2 linked regions of the Drosophila melanogaster genome follow. The protein of the gene in region 2 purifies or fractionates together with the protein of the main gene of each other region. This does not show direct contact. Each region holds a gene or a part of one and is shown on either strand. Other genes may lie near its edges. The genes, in order: betaTub85D and Idh.

Region 1 (10,099 bases), on a different chromosome or scaffold from region 2:
AGTTGTTAACCTTCTCCAGCACCAGCCGATAAATATGCAGCACCGGCTTGTTGTCCAAAACACCCTGTCCCAGGCCGCGTTCATCATCGCTGGCCAGGCGACGATCTTGCATAATCTCTAGCTCGCCCGAGGCCAGAGAAGATCCACCCAGCGGTTGACCCGTGAGGAGAGTGAGTCGCGTATTGGCATCCTCAATGAACATACCAGAAGGTATGGGATAATAGTTGGCCTGCAAAGGTAATTTGTCCAAACGCCGCCTCTTGATAAATTGCAATCCATTGAGATCCGTGTAGAAGATATCGCCGCTGTCGATATGCGTCTCCAAGCGCATCACGATCTCCGTGTTGTCCAGTGAGCCTATATCCACCAGATTGCGAATCTCAGGTGCACCACCGCGCATTATCGTCTGGTGCACCACGCTCGGAAGTCCCACGCTCACGGACGACTCCAGTTTGCCCTTAGTCACCAGGACCACTGGCTGGCCAAGCTCGACTGGCGAAGCTGGTCCATTGGGCAGGAACAGATAGGCACCGGATCTATCGCCATGCGATCGAACGCCATACTTGAGGAACTTGAAGTGCACCGGTACATGTGGGCTATCCTGAGTAAGCTGAATGGACTTAAGGAGACCCTGCTCCGAAAAGGCCAAGGTGGGTCCGTTACCAACCCGCAATGAGATCTCTCGAGGATCGCCAAACTTCACATCCTCCGGATATTGGCCCAATGGTAACGAAGTCGGGTTTTTACGGAGCAAGAGATTCGATGCATACGAGGTGTGCCTGTAAGTAACATTGAAATGCTTATTGAAAAAGTATAAATAAATAGTATAAATAGAAGACAATTACGGCATCTGGTTAATGAAATATTAATATCAATAAATAAAACCTGCACTCTATAATGGTTTAAGGAAACGGCATAGCGAAACGTGTTACGAAAATGTACAATTAATACAGAAAGTACGGAAAGGATTCTTGTTCCTTTGATAAATGGGTAATCTTTAACTGGCTACTCACTCTGGCTTGGAATCGGAGATGGTTAAAACGTAGGTGGCCAAGCCCATGGGCGGCACCCGAGCCTTGAAGATGATGCGGTACTTGGTGGTGGAGCCTTGTGGGTGGATAGTCTTTGTGAGTGTGTCGTGGTGCCAGCTCCACACCGGGGACACCTGAGCCTCCACCGGATTGTTTGCCAAGTCGGTAACGCTTACAAACGGACTGGATACATAAAAGTCCACCAGCTGCTCCCGCCAGTGGGGCAGGGTGTTGTGCATCACCACATGCTTGGAGGGCAGTATATCCTCGCCCAGTATTATGGTGGTTCGACTGTCCTCCACACCAGATCCTGGCCAGCGGGAGTCGTCGAGCGTAAAGTACGAGAAACTGAAGTCCGGACTGTAGATGGAGGGCTTTGTCAGCAATCGGTAGACCGACTGTTGCATTACCATTTGACAGGCTTTTAAAGCTTCCTGCATGCGTTGCTCGTAGTCGACGACTACGTGCGTTTTTGCTGTGCCAGTTATACCGTCGTGGTGCTGGAACAATGACAGCTCCCTGCGGGCCTGCTCCAGACGTTCCTCGATGCGGGCCATACCGTCCCAGGAGTGCCAGGCGGAAAGCATTTCTGCTGCACGTACATAGTGCATCAGGACGCGGTCCATGCGCTTATGATACGGGCGGGATGTGTAGTAGCCACTCCAATAGTTATCCGATCGATCGGCGTATGTGAAAAAGTCACCGCTTAGCGTGGGAAACTCGGCTTGTCCCGCCCTTTCCGCCTGGTGCACTGCATCAAAGTATTCCTGCAGTGTGCCGAACTGCGCCTGGACATTGAAGTGGGCCTGGCTGTTGATGTGTTCGAACAGCCTTTCGTAGTTCACGCGCTGCACATCCCACTCGGTGTTCTGCTTGAAGCGGAAGTCGTCACCCAACGGAATCAGCAGCACGTTCGTGCGATACAGCTCGGCCTTCTTCTTCCACTGATCAACCAGCAGATCTGAGCGTGCTGCCACATTTTGATCACTGATTGTACGCGGCGGCACCTTCCATGGACAGCTCAAACCGAAGGAGCCCATTCGTTTGAAATCGAACTGACAGCAAACCTTGGGATCTGGACCACAGGTGTGAGGAATGTCGTACGAGTAGAAGGGCATCATGTGGGTGAAGAGAGCTGTGTCCCCTTTGTTGTCCCAGATCTGGCGCCACAGGAACTCAAGCTGTCGCTGTTGGGCCAGTTCCTTCTTAACCGAATAGTGCGTCCTTTGGATAAGCATATTCTTGAAACCACTCTTCTGCAAAATGTACGGCATAGTGGGACTGTGTCCGAAGGGATCGATGGCCCAGGAAGCAGTGGGTGTGACATTCATGAATTGCTTCAACCATGTTTGCCCTTCGGTCAGCTGCAGCAGTACGTTTCGCCAGTGGGAGTTGGCCTCGTCCGGCATTACCCATCCTCCAGTCACAAATTCCAACTGTCCATTCTTTACAATGCTGTAAATAAGTAAATAATTTATTATTTTTTGTTAAAAACTAAATATTGTAGTTGTTGAGACTGCAAAGCTTATCAATTCCTATTTCTGCTTTGGGTTATAAATATTAGGTAGATAAGTACAAAGCTGTTTCGGAAAACAAGCAGCGTGATCATGCATTTTGTTTATCTAAACGCTTTTGACGCAATAACGAAGTAAAATATTTCACTGCTGCACATAACAACTGTGTAAGGTTTATGGAATGCAATAGCAAAATGGCATTGCACTTTGTTTTGTGGGTTAACTACCGTTATTCATTATTGTATCAATACTATATAGGGAAAGCATGCTTACGACTTCATCTGCAGCTTTTTGTTCTCTCCCAAATCGTGATAGAACCGAGCAAAGTAGGAGATTTCCGCCCAGATGAACTTCATCTCGGGATTGTCGTGCAGATGCCGTAGTGCATTGGACAGGATGTGCTTGGTGTCGTGCTGGTAGTATTCCTCAAACGTCTGAATCCATCCAGGATCGTTGTGCGAGTGCGGCACAACGAAGACTTTTAGTTTGTGATGGGCGTTGTACTTCAGTGGATCGTACTTAATGTTCCAGCCCTGTTTCCACACGCCTCCATCTATGTCCTTGAAGGACATGCGATCGTATAGCTCCAGCATCTGTACATCCACATTGGGCACGTCTTGGACCACATCTTGGCATTGCCCTGGCCTCGGGGAACGAGCCACTTTAAGTGGAGGTCTTATTGGATCGTCGCGATTGGATGTTTCGGCAAGACGCGCCCTGAGATTCCGCATCTCCTCCCCGTGCTCCTGCAAACCATTTTCCAGCTCATGCAGCTTGTTCTCAATGTTCTCATAGTTGGGCTGCTAAAATAAAGAAGTTATTATACATTCGAATTGATTTAGAAGCATTTATTTACCTTTATCTGGGTGGCTGCCGGCGCCGCAAAATTGAGGATTATGTACAGGCTGAGGAAAACCAGCAGGCAGCCGGAGCAAATTACCAAAGCGAACCGCCGACGTATTCGCAACATTTTCCGGTTAATTAAGCATGGAAACGTCGACGTCAGAGACACAGCAGCCAACTGCAACAATCCAATCGGTTGGAACTTGCGTGGTTTTTTTTTAGCATAAACAAATCAGATCTGGCGATATGTTTGCTTTTCCCGAAAATCGATAGGCTGTCAAGTTATCGGCGCTGCTAACTGCAAAATGTTAAATTGTTAAAATGGCTTAGAAAGACAAAAACTTTAAAGGCAATTAAAGAAAATGTAATAAAACTCTTATGTTGTTTGTGTATATTGATCCTTTAAAAAAATTATTATTATCCTTAGTTATCGTGACATTACAGCTTTTTAGCTGTACAGAGTTAACAGATACCGCCAAGTGGCAACGCCATCAAATTCTGTTGCTTCTGTTGTGATAAACTAACGGTAAAATCACAATCCTTTATTGAGATTAACGGTCAAATCAATAGATAAAAGAAAACTTATTACATATTTAAAGAATGATGAAATTTTTAAAATTCATTGTATCATATGTTATTCGGCCACTGTAACCGAAATCAACCATTTTTGGCGGATGCTGTGTGTTTGTTTTGCTGACAACTATCGATTTTGTCAGACGCAGCATCTTTAACTGAACGAAAAAGGCGCGTGGTGCAAAATATATTAATTGATTATAGATCGTAGTGATTATATTTGAGACTATATGATGAAGCGACAGAATGTCCGTACCCTTTCCCTGGTGGTATGCACTTTCACCTATCTTTTAATTGGAGCCGCCGTGTTCGATTCCCTGGAGTCACCAACGGAGGCCAAAAGATGGGAATTCCTACAGAGTGAGAAGCTTGTTGATTTATTAACCTAATTTCTTAGTAATGAATTTATTTAATCAATTGTAGCCGTTAAGAACAACTTTGTTAGAAAGTACAATGTGACTGACGAGGATTTCCGTGTGATGGAAATCGTCATCATTGAAAATAAGCCCCACAAGGCCGGACCTCAGTGGAAATTCGCTGGAGCTTTCTATTTCAGCACGGTTGTACTGGCAATGATAGGTAAATTAATTATCTATTAAATATGATTTATTGAATAGATTATAATTCTGTTGTAACTTTCTTTAGGATATGGTCATTCTACGCCAGTTACAATTCCGGGAAAAGCATTTTGTATGGGCTATGCTATGGTAAGTGAACTTACAATCCCAATTTCCAGTCTTCTAAAGATATTCCCTTATTAGGTGGGCATCCCGCTGGGTCTGGTGATGTTCCAGTCTATCGGAGAACGTCTGAATAAGTTTGCATCCGTGATAATAAGGCGGGCAAAGAGAGCCAGTGGAGCTCGCTGTACGGATGCCACCGAAATGAATCTCATGTTGGCCACCGGAATGCTCTCCTCCATAATAATCACCACTGGAGCAGCAGTCTTTTCCCGATACGAGGGTTGGAGCTACTTCGATAGCTTCTACTATTGTTTTGTCACCTTGACGACAATTGGTTTCGGCGATTATGTGGCATTGCAGAACGACCAAGCTCTAACTAATAAGCCTGGCTATGTGGCGCTGAGCTTGGTCTTCATCCTATTCGGCTTGGCCGTGGTGGCCGCCAGTATCAATCTATTGGTGCTCCGATTCATGACCATGTGAGTCCATGTTCTATTGCAGGAAATATCTTATTTAATGGATTTTTAATCACAGGCAAGCAGAGGATGCCAAGAGAGATGAGCAGGATGCTCAGAACTTGGCTGGAAATGCCCAGCCGGTGACCTTCGATGATGAGTCCACGTACAATATGCACGGCAAGCTGCTGGAGAACAACTACACAACGGAGAACGATGAGACCGCCTCCCTGTGTTCCTGCACCTGCATGGGTGGCACCAGGTGCCTGAATCATGAGCAGTTCGTGGACCCGGACTTTCAGCCTACCGACATTATCGAGAGCACCTTGTGCCTGAAGCGAGCCTCCGTCTGATATCCGTACAGCCAGCTGTGGGACTCCTCATTGTAGGAGCCAGAGCCAATGGATCACCAAATCGTAGTTACAATCCTGTAGAGAACCATCCGCCGCCAAAATTTGGTTGTTAGACAAACCTTCCTCCCTACGTAGATTTTTAAACCAGGATGGGTCATAATACATATAAGTTTGGAGAGCAAGGTTAATAGTCTTTAAAAGGCAGTTTTTGCTTAAGAAATAATCGACCCATCCCATTATACACCCATATAAACATTTACAAAGGAGTAAAATCCAGGACATCCATGTCAATATCAATCGTATCATCTGGTCGGTAGCCTTGGAATCCTCTATTGCTTCCAAGGCACCGCCAAATCCATCCCATCTCGAATTTTAGCCGTATATTCGTTTATCTATGTAAGTACTATTAAAGTTTGTGCTCAAAACGGAGAACTGAGTTTTCTGAAATCGGGGTGTGTGAAATGTGTCGAAGTCGGAAATCGTAGTAGCCTATTTGTGAACATTCGGTGTAGTAATCCAAGCCAGGTTCAGTTCACCTCAGTATCAGCTAGCACGTACACGACTAAAATCTAAACCTGAAAAATTATACGTTTAAATATTCAGTCTTTTGCCGATTTTTGCCCCACTCAGACTGTTTTAAAAGCTCGATTTTTTTTTGTACCATTTTTTCGGTGTGAAAAAGGGGCCCTAACTTTACTATCAAAATGCGTGAAATTGTACACATTCAGGCCGGTCAATGCGGTAACCAGATCGGTGGTAAATTCTGGGAGGTAATCTCGGATGAGCACTGTATAGATGCGACCGGAACGTACTACGGCGATAGTGATCTCCAGCTGGAGCGCATCAATGTATACTACAATGAAGCCACCGGTGCCAAGTATGTGCCACGCGCAATTCTCGTGGACCTGGAGCCCGGCACCATGGATTCGGTTCGTTCTGGCGCCTTTGGCCAGATCTTCCGGCCGGACAATTTTGTGTTTGGCCAATCGGGAGCAGGCAACAACTGGGCCAAGGGTCATTACACCGAGGGTGCTGAACTGGTGGATTCCGTCTTGGATGTGGTGCGAAAGGAGTCCGAGGGATGCGATTGCCTTCAGGTAAGTTTTGGGGGTTTGGGAATTTATCTGAAAAAGTTTACCCTACTTTTCTCCAACAGGGCTTCCAGCTGACCCACTCGCTGGGTGGCGGCACTGGCTCCGGCATGGGAACCCTGCTGATCTCGAAGATCCGCGAGGAGTACCCGGACCGCATCATGAACACCTTCTCGGTGGTGCCCTCGCCCAAGGTGTCCGATACGGTGGTGGAGCCCTACAATGCCACCCTGAGTGTGCATCAGCTGGTGGAGAACACCGATGAGACGTACTGCATCGACAACGAGGCGTTGTATGACATCTGCTTCCGCACACTGAAGCTGACCACGCCCACCTACGGTGACCTGAACCATCTGGTTTCGGCCACCATGTCTGGTGTGACGACCTGCCTGCGCTTCCCTGGCCAGCTGAACGCTGATCTTCGCAAGCTGGCCGTGAACATGGTACCCTTCCCCCGGCTGCACTTCTTCATGCCCGGATTCGCACCGCTCACCTCGCGAGGATCGCAACAATACCGGGCCCTTACCGTTCCGGAGCTGACCCAGCAGATGTTCGATGCCAAGAACATGATGGCTGCGTGCGATCCGCGACATGGTCGCTATCTGACCGTCGCCGCCATCTTCCGTGGCCGCATGTCCATGAAGGAGGTGGACGAGCAGATGCTCAACATTCAGAACAAGAACAGCAGCTTCTTCGTGGAATGGATCCCGAATAACTGCAAGACAGCGGTGTGCGATATTCCGCCCAGAGGTCTCAAGATGTCGGCCACCTTCATTGGCAACTCCACCGCCATTCAGGAGCTATTCAAACGGGTTTCGGAGCAGTTCACCGCCATGTTCCGAAGGAAGGCCTTCTTGCATTGGTACACCGGCGAGGGAATGGACGAAATGGAATTCACAGAGGCCGAGAGCAACATGAACGACTTGGTTTCTGAATATCAGCAGTACCAGGAGGCGACTGCCGATGAGGAGGGCGAATTCGATGAAGACGAAGAGGGTGGCGGCGATGAATAATAGGATTAACTTCCCACTCAAGATCACACATGAACACCAAAACAGGCTAGCAGGGGAACCCATTAGGAAGGCACAACACATTGGATCTTTGGGCCTTAGCATATTGTGCTTCGAGGCCCGTCGGTTGTACATATTTCCTATATGGATTCTTCACTGTTCGATTATTTATCATTCACACACGTACAGAAGAAATATGTCCACCTTTGTTAAGCTCATGTTGCAATTGCTGTGATTTCTGGGTTACGAATAAATGTTGATTTATAAGCAGACAAGATTACCAACAGCATTTTGCATATTTTTATACCGTTCAAAAGGCATTGCATAAACCTAAACATTAATATATAAATATTCTGGATTGAATTGAATTTGAGGCTAAGCGCTCAATATCGAAAATCTATATTTTGTTGGCAATCATTTTTTAGAGTTGCCTTACGAAAGTGACAGCTTTCCTTTCTGACAGGCCGTCATCATTCAAGTCATTCAAGTCATTGAAGTCAAGGCACCAAGATGTATTTTCCGACTACTCCAGTTACCTCTCGCAGTGGCTATCTGCGCGGCCGAAAGCGCATAAATCCGCATCCCATATCGCAACTGCAGAGTGGAAAACCGACGTCGGAAGACGACCAGGATAGCACAAATGTTGATCTAGAAGAATCAATCAGCTCAAGCTACTCATCGGAGACGGACATCTCGATGAACGTGGAGGCGCAGGACACCAGCACGGATAGTGGTCTGGACACTAGCCAGGAGAGCAGCAACGAACCGCGCTACTCCCTTCGAAAGATGGATAAGAATCCTCTTTAGTGGTTTATTCAACTGAATGGTCTACATGGGTGTAAAGGAACAGCAGCAGCAGCAGTGGCATCGGGAAATACTTAAGCGCGAGCGAAATATTGAGATACTCGGTAACGAATTGAAATAAAGAGTTATCCATATCCAAAGTCTAGACATCGTCGAAGAGTCCTCGGGGTGGTGGGCCGACAATTCGACCATCTGTCTCCGCCTCGTAGTCGGGGTCTCGGAATCCCACCTGCACCTGAGTGCTCACACCGAAACGGTCGTTGATCTCCTCCGACAGGGATCGCGGTACGCCCAGTGCAGAGGAAGAAGCCACTGCCGCATAGTCAAAGCTGCCGTCGCCATCGCGCAGCAGCCCGTCGGCGGGCGTGCGACTACTGGTTAGTCCACCGGGTCCACCACTCCGGTATTTGCTCAAGTAATCGCTGCCCAGAACCTGATCGGTTCGGTTGAAGTCACGGCGTCTGGCCATCGCCTCCTCGGCACGCTGGCGGCGGCGCTTTTCCCGCGCTATAAGATCCTTTCCCTCCTGCACCAGTTCGGTAGCAATAGTTTCGTTTTGCAGGAACTGCTGGAAGCCGAGAGCATTCAGTGCCCGACTGCCGAGGCTAAACCAAGTGGCCAGACAGAAGGCCAGCATACACATTGGGAAGTAGATATTGAAGCCGTTCGAGATGATGCCAATAACATCCATGTGGCCCATGATCTGCGTGTACACCGTCTCCATAATGCGCTGAGGAATAGTTTATAAATTTTCAGTAATTCAGTGTTTACGAACATGTTTACTACTCACGTTGGGAATAATGTGTGTGTCCATATGGATGAGACCCAGGAAGTTGAGGCACATGGGTGGTGTCAGACGGCACAGCAGCATGCCGCTGAAGATCAGACTGTGCTCGTTGGTCTGGTGATGCGGTGCCAGGTAGTAGAGATTAAGGAAGCGTATCCTCAAGATCGTGGAGTAAGTGCAGTAGAAGAAGTAGCATAGAACAACCATAGAGAAGACTTCAATAGTAAAGAAGTCGTAGCTCTCCTTGGCCACGTAGATAACGTTGGCGAATATGGAAAGCACAGGGTGGCGACTGAAGAAGGTAAGCTCGCTCCACACCACCATGGCCGACATGGTGGCGGTCAGAACGCACATGGTCTTGAGGAACGGAGCCTTTAGCAGGCACTCCCAGTACCACTGCAGCGAGGCGCTGTAGCAGATCCTCTCCAGCTGCGTGCGCTGGCGCGGAAACTCAGATTTGAAGCGCCGGTCCGAAGAGTGTATATTCTTGGCCACATCCTCCAGATGCAGCACTGTCTGCACCTGCACGCTCCATAGCGCTTCGGTGCGCTGCAATGTTTGCAGCGATTTGATTACTTGCTTATGAATGCGAACCAGCGCCTTTTCCGAAGGCAAGATAGTGGAACTCGTGGCACCCATGCCGCTGCCTCCAGTGCGCGCAAAGTTTCGACTCGCTCGCTCTTGCAGCTCAATGGGAACCTTGCGCAGAATGGTCTCCAGGCAGGGGCGCAACTCGTGATTGTTGGGTATGACGCGGCTAAGGCCTTGCAGCGACTCAAGGATATCATCCACATGCTCCTCAGCCTCGGCCTTCTCAGTGCTCAATTTGGCTGCCTTGAAGTAGGCATATTGCAGTGCAAATCCCGGCTTGGCGTTGTTCCACAACGATCGAGGTACCTCCACCAGAGCATATCCCAGTAACAGGATGAGCAGAAACAATCCCCATGTGTTCGAT
Region 2 (10,786 bases):
AAACGTGCATTTTGATTTCCATATATACGCGAGTAATAGATTTTTATTATTTTGCACTTTGAGGCACCCGAAAGTCAGTGCTGGTCAGGATGTGCCCCGGATCAATTAGTGGGTTGAAGTGAATCTTGGGCGATGGATGTTCGTTGTTGTTTTTTGTGATCTGATCTGGGGCACATATTGATCTGCTCTGGCAAATGCTACACGTATAACGGCTATAAATAAATAAATTAACAAAAAATGCTAATTCATAATGTAATTATTCATTTCTTTTTGCGGTATGGTACATATTATAAAGAATACAAACGTTGCGACCTTTTGGATAAGTCTTGATGAAGTTGAAGTTAATTATTTATTAAGAATTTCAATAAGCTAATAACATTCGAGTAAGAAACAGGCTTATTTATTTATATGTGACTAGAATCCGACCAGAATCACACCAGGCTTTAATACTATCGTTCCACTTGTCCACTCTTCCATTTTGAATCTCCCGCTCAGATGAAGAACAATCGCTGCATTGCCTCGCTCGTTTTTTGTGGCGTCGATACCGCCATTGTCGCGTAGTTCATCAAAAGATCGGCCGACGAGCTGCGCTGCATGAGACGCCTCCTTCCGGCACTGCCACCTCTGGCATTGCTAAAGGATCGGCTCCTCACATGACCCCGATGACGCCTCTTGGGCCGCTGGGCTACGGCTCCAAAGCAGGACACCTGCTGCTCCGCTTCGCTCTCACTTTCGCTGTGATTCGGGTGACTTTCCACTATCACATGGGACTGGAGTGTCTGGTTGGATTGCTCCATCTCCTGGGTAATGGTCTCCGATCCACTTGTGTCCTCGGGCGTCAAGCGAGCTCGTTTGCCCACACTATAACTCGATGGGTCCCTCGACAACTCGGATCCGAAATTACTACTGCTCCGTTCATGTGGAAGATTAGTGCCGTAGCTCAGGAAATCCGGGTACGGCAGATGCAGCTCATCGCTAGTGAATGCTTCAGGAGAGGAGAAGGTATGTCGCAGCCTCCGGACACGGTAACCCCTGCCAGGTGGAACCTGTTGCACCACCAACCACGATCTCTTTAGGAAGGTGTGCTCCGTGCAATTGCTGATTGTCTGCTCCGGACTTTGTTTCTGCAATTGGTTCTGGTCGGTTGTCACAGGACTCTCTGCCGTGGTGGAGGGCAAGCCTAGAGTGAGTGAAATGCTAAGTGAGTCGCCTCCCTGGGTGCACTCATCTGCCGTGCTGCCGGGCGTTGTGGCTGACCCACCTGCTGTGGGTAGTTCACCCCCAGCGGATAACGATGACGGGCTCGTTGAAATCCCCACGGATTGGACCCGCTGCCCTGACTCCTTTGCTGCCGGGAGAGACGTGCCTGCAGTGCCTGCAAGTGGGACTCTGTGGGTAAGTTAGCGACTGCAGGGCGGGATTGGGGGAACTCTCGACCTACCACAAATAGCCGTGGCGAGGAGCATTCGCTGGGCCATCGTCTGGACGTGTTCGGCATCCTCCGTTGTATCCGTGGCAGCCACCGCATGGGTCATTGCCGCCGCCGAGGTACTGGGCTGTTCTTGATCCCTTTCCAGGGTGCAGCTGCGATGCAGTGGGAGTACCGATTGCACGGTGCAATTGCTTGCGGCGCGACTGCAGCTCCGATCTCTAGGCGGAGCTCGACGGGCCCGTCTCTGGCGACGTGGCTCCCGTAGCTCCTGTTGCATTCCTACCTTGATGACCTCCTCGTAATCGGGTGGTGCCTCGTAGCTGGGTGGCTCATCGGGCGTGCGATCCTCGTCCTGGCGATCCAACAGCTCACTGATCGTCTGCAGGTGGCTTTGAAGCTCACGTTGGTGTCGTGCTCTAACCCCCATCCTGTACAGGATCACCATCCAGCCGGACAGCACACCAAATATGCCAAGTGTGCTGATGATAAAGATTCCCGTGGCCGTCTTAAGATCTGGATACTGGTCTATCTTGGGGAAATAATAGTTGGGCTTGTGAGAGTACCAGCGACGATCGTGATGCAGGTGTGCCCAGTCCTCCTCGCAGGAATCCGGCTCATCGCTGCCATCCCCACAATGGTCGAAGCCATCGCAGTGGAGGCGAATGGATATGCAGTGATTGTTCCCGCACAGAAACTCCGAGCCAATATAGCAATCTAAGCAATTCGAATTGGTTAATTAAACATTAAATTTAAATTTTCCAATCGAACTCACTCAAGTAGTTGAACACGCTGTAGACGATGGCCAGCTTGGAGGACATCCCGAATACCCCACGCAGTCGAATGTAGTAGCCATTGAGGATGGGCGCCACATGACTCTCCTTGCTCAGCCCATTGTTCGGCCACATCACATTCTCGATCTCCACGGCATCCGAGGTGGTGCCCTGCCGTATTGTGAGCTCAGATCTGGCGGCCATGCCGTAGAAGTCATCCACTCTCAACGAGATGTGGGTTTTCATCATCATGTAGTTGTTGCCGGGCTTTATAATCCAGATGCAGTCAAACAGCCGCACGTCCGTGGCATTTTCGATCATGTTCATCATGGTGATGGCGCCACCAGGTCCGGTAACCATTCCCCCGCAATCTAGAGGTGTAATAGAGATATGTACATAAGCATTTATTTATGTGCTCTTGCATCATGCATTGTGATCCAACCTGTCGCAATAGTGCATAACCAACCCCATTCCGGATTATATACAAGTATTTGCCAACCACCCTACGGGCAATGATCCAAGAAATCGATTGTCTTACCAAACCGAACCCAACCAGAGTCACCCAGTTTCCACTTCAACGCCTTGCATTGACATTGATATTCGCCAAGTGCCCACCCCACCCACTACCTTCGCCAAAATCAATATGACAATTGCCTGCAGACTTTCAAGTGCTCGACTAATCCGAAAATCATTAAAATGTCCCTATTCCTACAGAGAAAAGATATACTAATCCATTTAAAAAGTTAATCAATCTGCGAGTTCTAAAATGAAGATAAGCATAATGTTCTATACTTTTAAAAACCTCGAATTTTTTAATCCTGCGGAATATTTGTGTTTTAACCTTAGATCTGAGTTGTTTGATAGTCTTAGTTTTTGTTCAGTGCACTGCAACCCATTCACTTACCTGTGTAGGGCACCAGTCGCTCGTCCTTGAGCTGCTTGGAGGATACGAAGCTAACCTCCGCGCGAAAACCCACTCCGGTGGCGGAATTTCCTCGAAACTGCAGGAGCAGAGACTTGCCGCTGCTCACCGTGATCGGCGGACGGAAGTGCTCACCCGTATAGGAGTCCAGCATCTGGCCATTGGAGTCGAAGATCTCTAGGGTGGAGGTGAGGCCCAGCTGGAAGTCGGTAAAATCCAAACGCACCTGGCAGTTGTCCGCCTCGCAGGTGAGGATGTGTTCGATACCATAGTCGCGTGGATATGCCATCGGGAAATACGGCGTGGAGATCACTTGTGGCTGGGACTTTGTACTCCCATTGCCCACAATAGACTGCTTGGGGGAGCCACTGACTATCCGCACGTTGCCTATTCCGAGGGAAATCCGGATAGAGCATTCTTAAAAACCTACCAACTGATTCTAAATCTTACGTTCCGAGAAGTATTGAAGGGAGAACACGTGCGCATTGCTGGCTCTGTAGAAGAATTTCAACTGCAGTGTCCTGGTTTTGCTCCGAAACACCTTGCCATCTCCACAGAACTCTTGGCCGGAAATGGTGGAATCATAGGGCGGCTCCGAGAACTGGATATGCTCGCAGGGACACATGCTGGACTTGCCACCCGTATTGCCGCAACTTTTGGAGAAGTTGGCATAGGTGAAGGCCACTCGGATGACGCACTCGGCACAGGTGACCAGCTCCAGGCTGCACTGGTACCACACATCCCCGGCCACTGCATCGTTCTTAAAAACCAGCGGCGAGCTCTGTTTTTAAGTTCATAATTGCTGACCAAATCCCGTCTGGAGAAGCTTGTAAATACACTTACTCTATAGGCAGTAGTAGTCACATTCCTGGCGTGCACCTCTCCAGCTGGACTTCCCAGTTCCAGGAAGTGACGTCTTCCGTCCCAATGATTGCATATATCCAGATCCCGGTAGCTACTGCTGGCGGGATACGCCTCTCCTGGCCAGCAGAGCAGGCAGATCACGTAGGCCAGCAGGTAGCCATAGCCCAATGCTTCGGCTAGCATCGATAGTTTCGTCCTTCTAACAGGATCCTGAGCCCCTTCCGCTTGAACCGTCTCGGTCTGGTGCCGCCAAGTGTTAGAACACAACTGTGGCCATTTCGCTGGCAAATCCAATAAACCCAGAGCCATCAGAAGCCGCACAAGTGGACCGGGCCTCGTAACGAGCCCACCCTCGACTGGGTTAAAGACCTCTCGAGTCCGGTATAAAAATACATTTATTTGAAATTTCTTTTCCGTTAGACGTTAAAGGGAAATCAGGGTTTTTTTTTGCGTCTCGCAGAGACAATGAAACAGTGGGAAACATGCATCGAGGACACGGATTTTTAGCCTAGGACATGCACATCTACAAAAACGAATGGAAATATTGTGAATATGGTGACGAGGACAAGGCATCGCTGAGTAGTTTTCTAGAGATGCGAGGCCTGCTGCTCGGACTGAGTGCCGGATAGTCATTTGGCAGCAACGGCATTCTTGGCCAGGGCACCCTCCAGGTTCTTGGCCAGCGTGTTAATGAACTCAAAAGTCTCCTGGTAGTCCCTGCGAGTAACGGCGTTGATGTTGCCTTTAATGCAGATGGCCAGATCCTTGGTCATGGCGCCGCTCTCAATTGTGTCGATGCACACCTGCTCAAGGGTGTCGGCGAACTGCTTCAGTGGCTCATTGTTGTCCAGCTTGGCACGATGCAGCAGGCCACGGGTCCAGGCGAATATCGAGGCAATGGGGTTGGTGGAGGTCTCCTTGCCCTGCTGGTAGAAGCGGAAGTGACGCGTCACCGTTCCGTGAGCGGCTTCAGCCTCCACGGTCTTGCCATCGGGGCATAGCAGCACGGAGGTCATCAGACCCAGAGATCCGTAGCCCTGGGCAACGGAGTCCGACTGCACATCACCGTCGTAGTTCTTGCAGGCCCACACGAAGCCACCCTCCGACTTCATGGCATAAGCAACCATATCGTCGATGAGACGGTGTTCATACCAGATGCCCGCCGCCTCGTACTCCTTCTTGTACTGCTTGTTGTACAGGTCCTCGAATATGTCCTTGAAGCGTCCATCGTACTTCTTCAGAATGGTGTTCTTGGTGCTCATGTACAGCGGCAGCTTGCGGTCCAGAGCATATTTGAAAGAGGCGTGGGCAAAGTCCACAATGGAATCGTCCGTGTTGAACATTCCCAGGGCAATACCGGGGCCCTTGAAGTCATTAATGACCTCATCGATCACCTGACCGTCGGTTCCCTTCCAGGTGAGGGTCAGCTTGCCGGGTCCGGGAACCACGTAGTCGACGGCCTTGTACTGATCGGCGTGGGCATGGCGACCGATCACAATAGGCTTCTGCCAGCCAGTCACCAGACGGGGCACGTTCTTGCAGATGATTGCCTCACGGAAGACGGTTCCTCCCAAGATGTTACGGATGGTACCGTTGGGCGACTTCCACATCTTCTTCAGGTTGAACTCCTCTACGCGCTTCTCGTCGGGAGTGATTGTGGCGCACTTGATGCCCACGTTGTACTTCTTGATGGCCTCAGCACAGTCAATGGTGACCTGGTCCTCGGTTTTATCGCGGTTCTCAATACCAAGATCGTAGGTATGCAGCTCAATGTCCAGGAAGGGCAGAATCAGTTGGCTCTTAATGGAGTCCCAAATGATGCGGGTCATCTCGTCACCGAGGACATCCACAACGGGACCGGCTTTGATCTTCTGGGCCATCTGTTCGGGAGAGCATACCACACTTGAGTGCTTGAAGGGCAGGATGGGAATCTTATTAGCTACATGAAAAATGGATTTGTGTCTGAATGCTGCGGTATTGGGGTATTCACCTCGCTCACGGCGGACATCCTTTCATTATCCATGGATATCTTATGGGTTTTGGGGTCCTAAGCACAGGCGATACAGGCGAAACTTATATGTATGACGATAATAAACTGACAACTGGTCAAAGCAAAGTAAACTTTGATCAGCCTGGGATAGGGTGGGTCGATATTGATGGATGGAAATTAAAATACACCGTGTTTCAAAAGTAATCCCTTATCTTTACTTTGTAATATTTAATATTTCGTCGTGACGACGTAATTATTAAGGTACTTGCCTAAAAGTTAATATCTCTACTTTGCATTCATAGGTTATAAATTTAAGAAAAAATTGTTCAATTTTTTTGTATAAACAGTAAATATAGTAATCCTATTTATCGGATGCTAGCAGCACAGGTGACTACGTGATTGTTTATAATCTTAATATTGAGACCGACTTCAAAAAATTCAAAATATCTTTTTCTCCTGCTCATCGACCCACCCTATTCCGAAATTTAGTAAGCAAAGAGATTTAGAGCGACAGAGGGCGAGGATACAAGGAGGACCTACCGCGGCGCTGATGGCGAAATTGGCCCGAAAAACGGCCTGGCTGAGATGCGGCTGCCGGTGGACCGACGTCATCATTGCGGCTGTGCGGCGCAGGGCGAACATTTTACAACCGGATTGGTGTGGATGTGGGTATTATTATTATGAATGAACCGACCGACGACTGGAAACGAGAGACGATAGTGTTTGTCACCAATGTGAAACAATACGAGACAATATGACACTGGAGTCCCGGGAAAGAGAACAATTTTCGGACAAAGCAAAATTAAATGCTGTGGGCGTCAGACGCGCTCTAACCGTAACTGATAACTGTAAAGTGCCGTTAAGCGCTACAGTTTCCGACTCTCTTGGGTGGCGTACAATCGTCAAATTGTTGCGCAATCGGCGTAATCACAACGTTCTAAATGCCCAGTCAGATAAGATTTAGAACCTCGGACTTTGATAAGCTGCTCTCACAACACTCGGCACACTTAAAAGCAAGTGTTTTAATTAATAATGTAACGAGAGTATAAAAAACAATAAGCACTCGGCGAACGCGTAAACATGTAATCGTTATCGCCGGCTGACTTGTCAATCGCTTTCGCATTGCGGGTGGCATTGTCCCTCTCTTCCGAATGACAACTGTTGCGTTTATCAGCTGGCGAAAAACTTTTCCACTATTGCGGGCTAGCCACTTTTATTTAAAGTTCACGGCCGACTTGTTTTGATAAGGAATACAAATTAGAAAAGCGCGTGGCATTAAGCTTATTTATTCAACTTCACCCGAATTCAAAATCAGCTGGTACGTGCGGTACTATCGATAACGATAGTCGAACTGACATGTTAAAGCTTAGATAATATTTGAACTTGGGCGCCAATCTTTTTTTTTTTTTGTTGCGAAGGAGGCTCGCTCTGATTATCTTGAAACGTCTACCATTCTTATCTACTCAGTCAATGCCATTTACTTCCAAATTAAAATAGCAATTGCGTGATGTTTTTTTGGATTTTTCTTCTCATATTTAATAGATCCATTGTCTGACTTTAATATAAATATCTCTAAGTCTTTATAGGTACATGTGTACCTAATTAACATATTGAGGTGGCGCGATCGCCGAACACGCCATAAGCTGAGGCCACGCCCACAATTATATATAATAACAATATTTATGCTTTCACCAAACGAATTTCACAAGCGTTTTTTTTTCTAGTCCAACTGGGAGAATTCGAACATAGTACGATATTGATAAGACTTGCGATTGGTAAATAAGCTGGTAATGACGGGGCGAATAAATTATCTAGATCTAATCTGATATTTTCTCATCTGGTGTTTTTCTAGTCCCAGAAATATTTATTGTTGAAATAAAAAGATTGCATGATGACTTTTGACCCTTGAACTTTATGAAACTGTTAATACAAAATTCGCTAGAAATAAAAAAGAAAACCTAATAAAATTATGGTTTTAATTTTTCGACTGACAAGTTAATAAAAGAGTCCATCTATCCTTATCAAATATAAGTTTACGATAATCTAATTATAGTAATTAATTGTATTCAGATCTGACTTCTAGTTTGATAAATGAAAAAAATAAACGTCGACTGTTTAAGTTGTTTAAGCACTCAAAACATAGGACAAACTTAGAAAGTTAAAAACATTTCCAAATTGTGCATGCAAAAGTCCCAATGAGATACGAGCTATCTGGAGGTTTTCTCGAACCATCTATTTGTAGATATGCATAGTAATTGTATAGGTTTAATTAAAACTGTCGACACGAATTCAAGATTAAACTTTGGACAGCACCTGGAGAATCAGGTGGATGTGAAAAGGCCTGTCGAATGGGTTACGTGTCTCTCTCTCTCCACATATATCCCCCTCTTTCACACTGTCGTCTCTTCACACTTTTTTTATCCGTATCTCTCTTTTTCGAGGAGGCAAACCGGTGCAAAGAAAAAAACAAAACAGCGGCAGACAAATAAAATGCATATGAAAACAGACCGGTGGGGAAAGTTCGGGCCCAAATAGGTTGGGCCAGAGGTTATGCATAAAGTTAAAATGCGCAACTTATTTGCATTAAGGAGGCTTGAATTGCGGCAAATTTACGTATTGCAACCGATCTGGAAATCCACCATTTTTTATTTGCTCAGATAAATTGCAAGTCAGCCTTTGAGTGCAGTAAATAGCTGGGCGGAATGCGATCGGAAGTGTGGGTGTTTGGCGTGGAGTGTGAACCGGTTTATATAAGGCTAAACAAATGCTCCACTTACCTTTTAGAATATTTAAAATGCCGAATTTAGAATGTTAGAGCACAGACTAATTAAATTGCAGACCGAAAGATCTCGAACCACTCCCAATCAGACGCAGCGAATAACTGAAACTGATTTGGCGACGACAACAATAAAGAGCAAGAGGTGGCGCGTGTGGAAGATAATTCCGTAGATAAAAACATGTTATTCAATCAGCTGCTTGCGAAGAGCTTTCTCACGAACTTTAAGCTTTACTCTCGAGTTCTGCAGCACTCAGTATTAGTTCGTCTTGCTGAACCGCCAAACATAAAATTTGAATTCTCAATTACCGCAACTTGTGAGAGCAGCGTGCGTTCGTTTGCTTTAATGACGCTAAAAGAAAATCCATAAAATGTGCTCCAAAAGTGAAATGTTAGCCGGCGCCGTTTAACTGGTCTTAAATATGCAAAAAAAATTTAAAATTGCCATCTTTTGTTGTGACCGCCTTTAATATGCGAAAGTGTGCTGCCATTAAGACGCGAATGCTACGTTCTTTCGCATAGTTTGGACAGTTGAAAGGAATGTGGGATATTCAGTAATGATAATAAAATCATTGAATTAGTTATTGAATGACGAAACAAGAAAATGCTCATTAACATGTTCCGTTGTTATTCTTATCGCGCAAAATTACATATTTTATTTTCCCCCCTAGATAAATAGTTACCCATCTCATTAGGGACCGCACCCGATAAGCATTTTCAAACATCATGGAAAACATCAAATGCGGCGACAGCCAACCGAACATGCATGAAAATCACTCGATCTTGGGCCTATTATTTGACAAAAACTGGCTAGAAAACTCGTCTAATTGCGACGCTTTCTTTGCTTTTGCCGTGTGGCATTAGATAAGCGCCGTTTATGCTCGCTTATATAACCCCCAATTATAACGTGTCTTAATTTGTGCATGCCAATGCATTAAATAACATATTCGGTTTTGGCCCATCCTCTCAGGTAAAATAAACGCGTGCCGGCGAAACCTCAATGTAAACGTGCTTTGGTTTTCTGCCCTGCACCACTTCACTTCACCTTGCTGGATGGAACCATCAGTACCCGCCATTAGCCATGTCAATGAACGTGAAATGGCCACTGGTTGCCACTTGGCCACTTGCTCTTGCCCAGGCACATCATTCACACATCGGATGGCAGATAGTTTCGTGGAGTGCGTGCCCGCACTGCCTTATTTGTTAGTTGGCATTGTTAAACTATTACTTTTTTTTTGTGGTTCCTCGTTATGTAAACAGATGACAAAAAAAAATTAAACCCAAGACAGAAGCGTCTGGTAAACTACTTTTAGTTTCAGCCAGCGGAATGCTAAGGAGAAAAGTAAAAGCAGCAGTAGAAACAGCAGAAGAAGCCATCCTAAATATTAGCTAAATATGTTTTCTGTCTGTCGTTTTGAAAGTGAGCAGTAGCCAGCGCCCTCGAATGAAGACAATTTGCATAAATAACAATATGTGGCAGATCTTTAAATACGTATAGAAAAATGCTCGTAAATACCGGCGCACATCACTCATGCGCCCGGGTGAACGGCTAGCATTCCACACTTTTCACTTGTTACCCATACGCCCCGTGGTGCGGTGCGAATTCCCTTTGGCCCCCACGAGGAATTCACCCACTGAGATGCCGTGCACGTGCAGCGGATCTTGCTGTGATGTGATGGATATTCGAACGCCTTTCGATCTCTAATGCACGCCTGCAATAACAAATTACTTCCTGTCCACATTCCAAGCGGCCGTGTGTCTTTGGTTGTTACCATTCTGAAGACGTGTGTGTAGCCAAGGCATCGGAATATTACTATTAATTATATTGAATGGAGAAAGTCAATTTCGTCAAACAGAAGAAGAAAACAAAAACAACATACGAAACAAAAAACAAAAAAAAAAACAGACCAAAACGAACCAACTCCTATGCTGAACAGCAGCAGCAGCAGCAGCTTGTCTTTTGTGCGCCATTTCTAAAGACGCGATGTGCGGCTGTCAGTCAGTCAGTTGGTCAGTTAGCCAGTTAGCCAGT

What was found.
Region 1: the proteins of Idh (region 2) and betaTub85D purify together in Drosophila melanogaster (affinity purification with mass spectrometry, with the first as the bait; one large-scale study listed by BioGRID). This does not show direct contact.

Annotation. Positions count from the first base shown.
Region 1 is NT_033777.3:9,406,110-9,416,208, reverse strand, and holds betaTub85D (beta-Tubulin at 85D), read left to right. Parts: upstream 1-5,926; 5' UTR 5,927-6,156; coding exon 6,157-6,549; intron 6,550-6,608; coding exon 6,609-7,556; 3' UTR 7,557-7,826; downstream 7,827-10,099. Other genes in the region: alpha-Man-IIa (alpha-Mannosidase class II a), read right to left, coding at 1-779, 1,014-2,486, 2,819-3,348, 3,402-3,515; Task7 (TWIK-related acid-sensitive K[+] channel 7), read left to right, coding at 4,192-4,321, 4,385-4,540, 4,607-4,668, 4,723-5,123, 5,179-5,452; CG44261 (uncharacterized protein), read left to right, coding at 8,064-8,360; CG8135 (uncharacterized protein), read right to left, coding at 8,500-9,087, 9,148-10,099. UniProt on the Drosophila melanogaster protein: Tubulin is the major constituent of microtubules, a cylinder consisting of laterally associated linear protofilaments composed of alpha- and beta-tubulin heterodimers.
Region 2 is NT_037436.4:8,352,038-8,362,823, forward strand, and holds Idh (isocitrate dehydrogenase), read right to left. Parts: upstream 6,904-10,786; 5' UTR 6,621-6,903; coding exon 6,519-6,620; intron 6,089-6,518; exon of another isoform or gene 6,036-6,088; coding exon 5,979-6,035; intron 5,899-5,978; coding exon 4,618-5,898; 3' UTR 4,367-4,617; downstream 1-4,366. Other genes in the region: Culd (CUB and LDLa domain), read right to left, coding at 492-1,375, 1,442-2,146, 2,205-2,573, 3,107-3,511, 3,575-3,905, 3,968-4,171.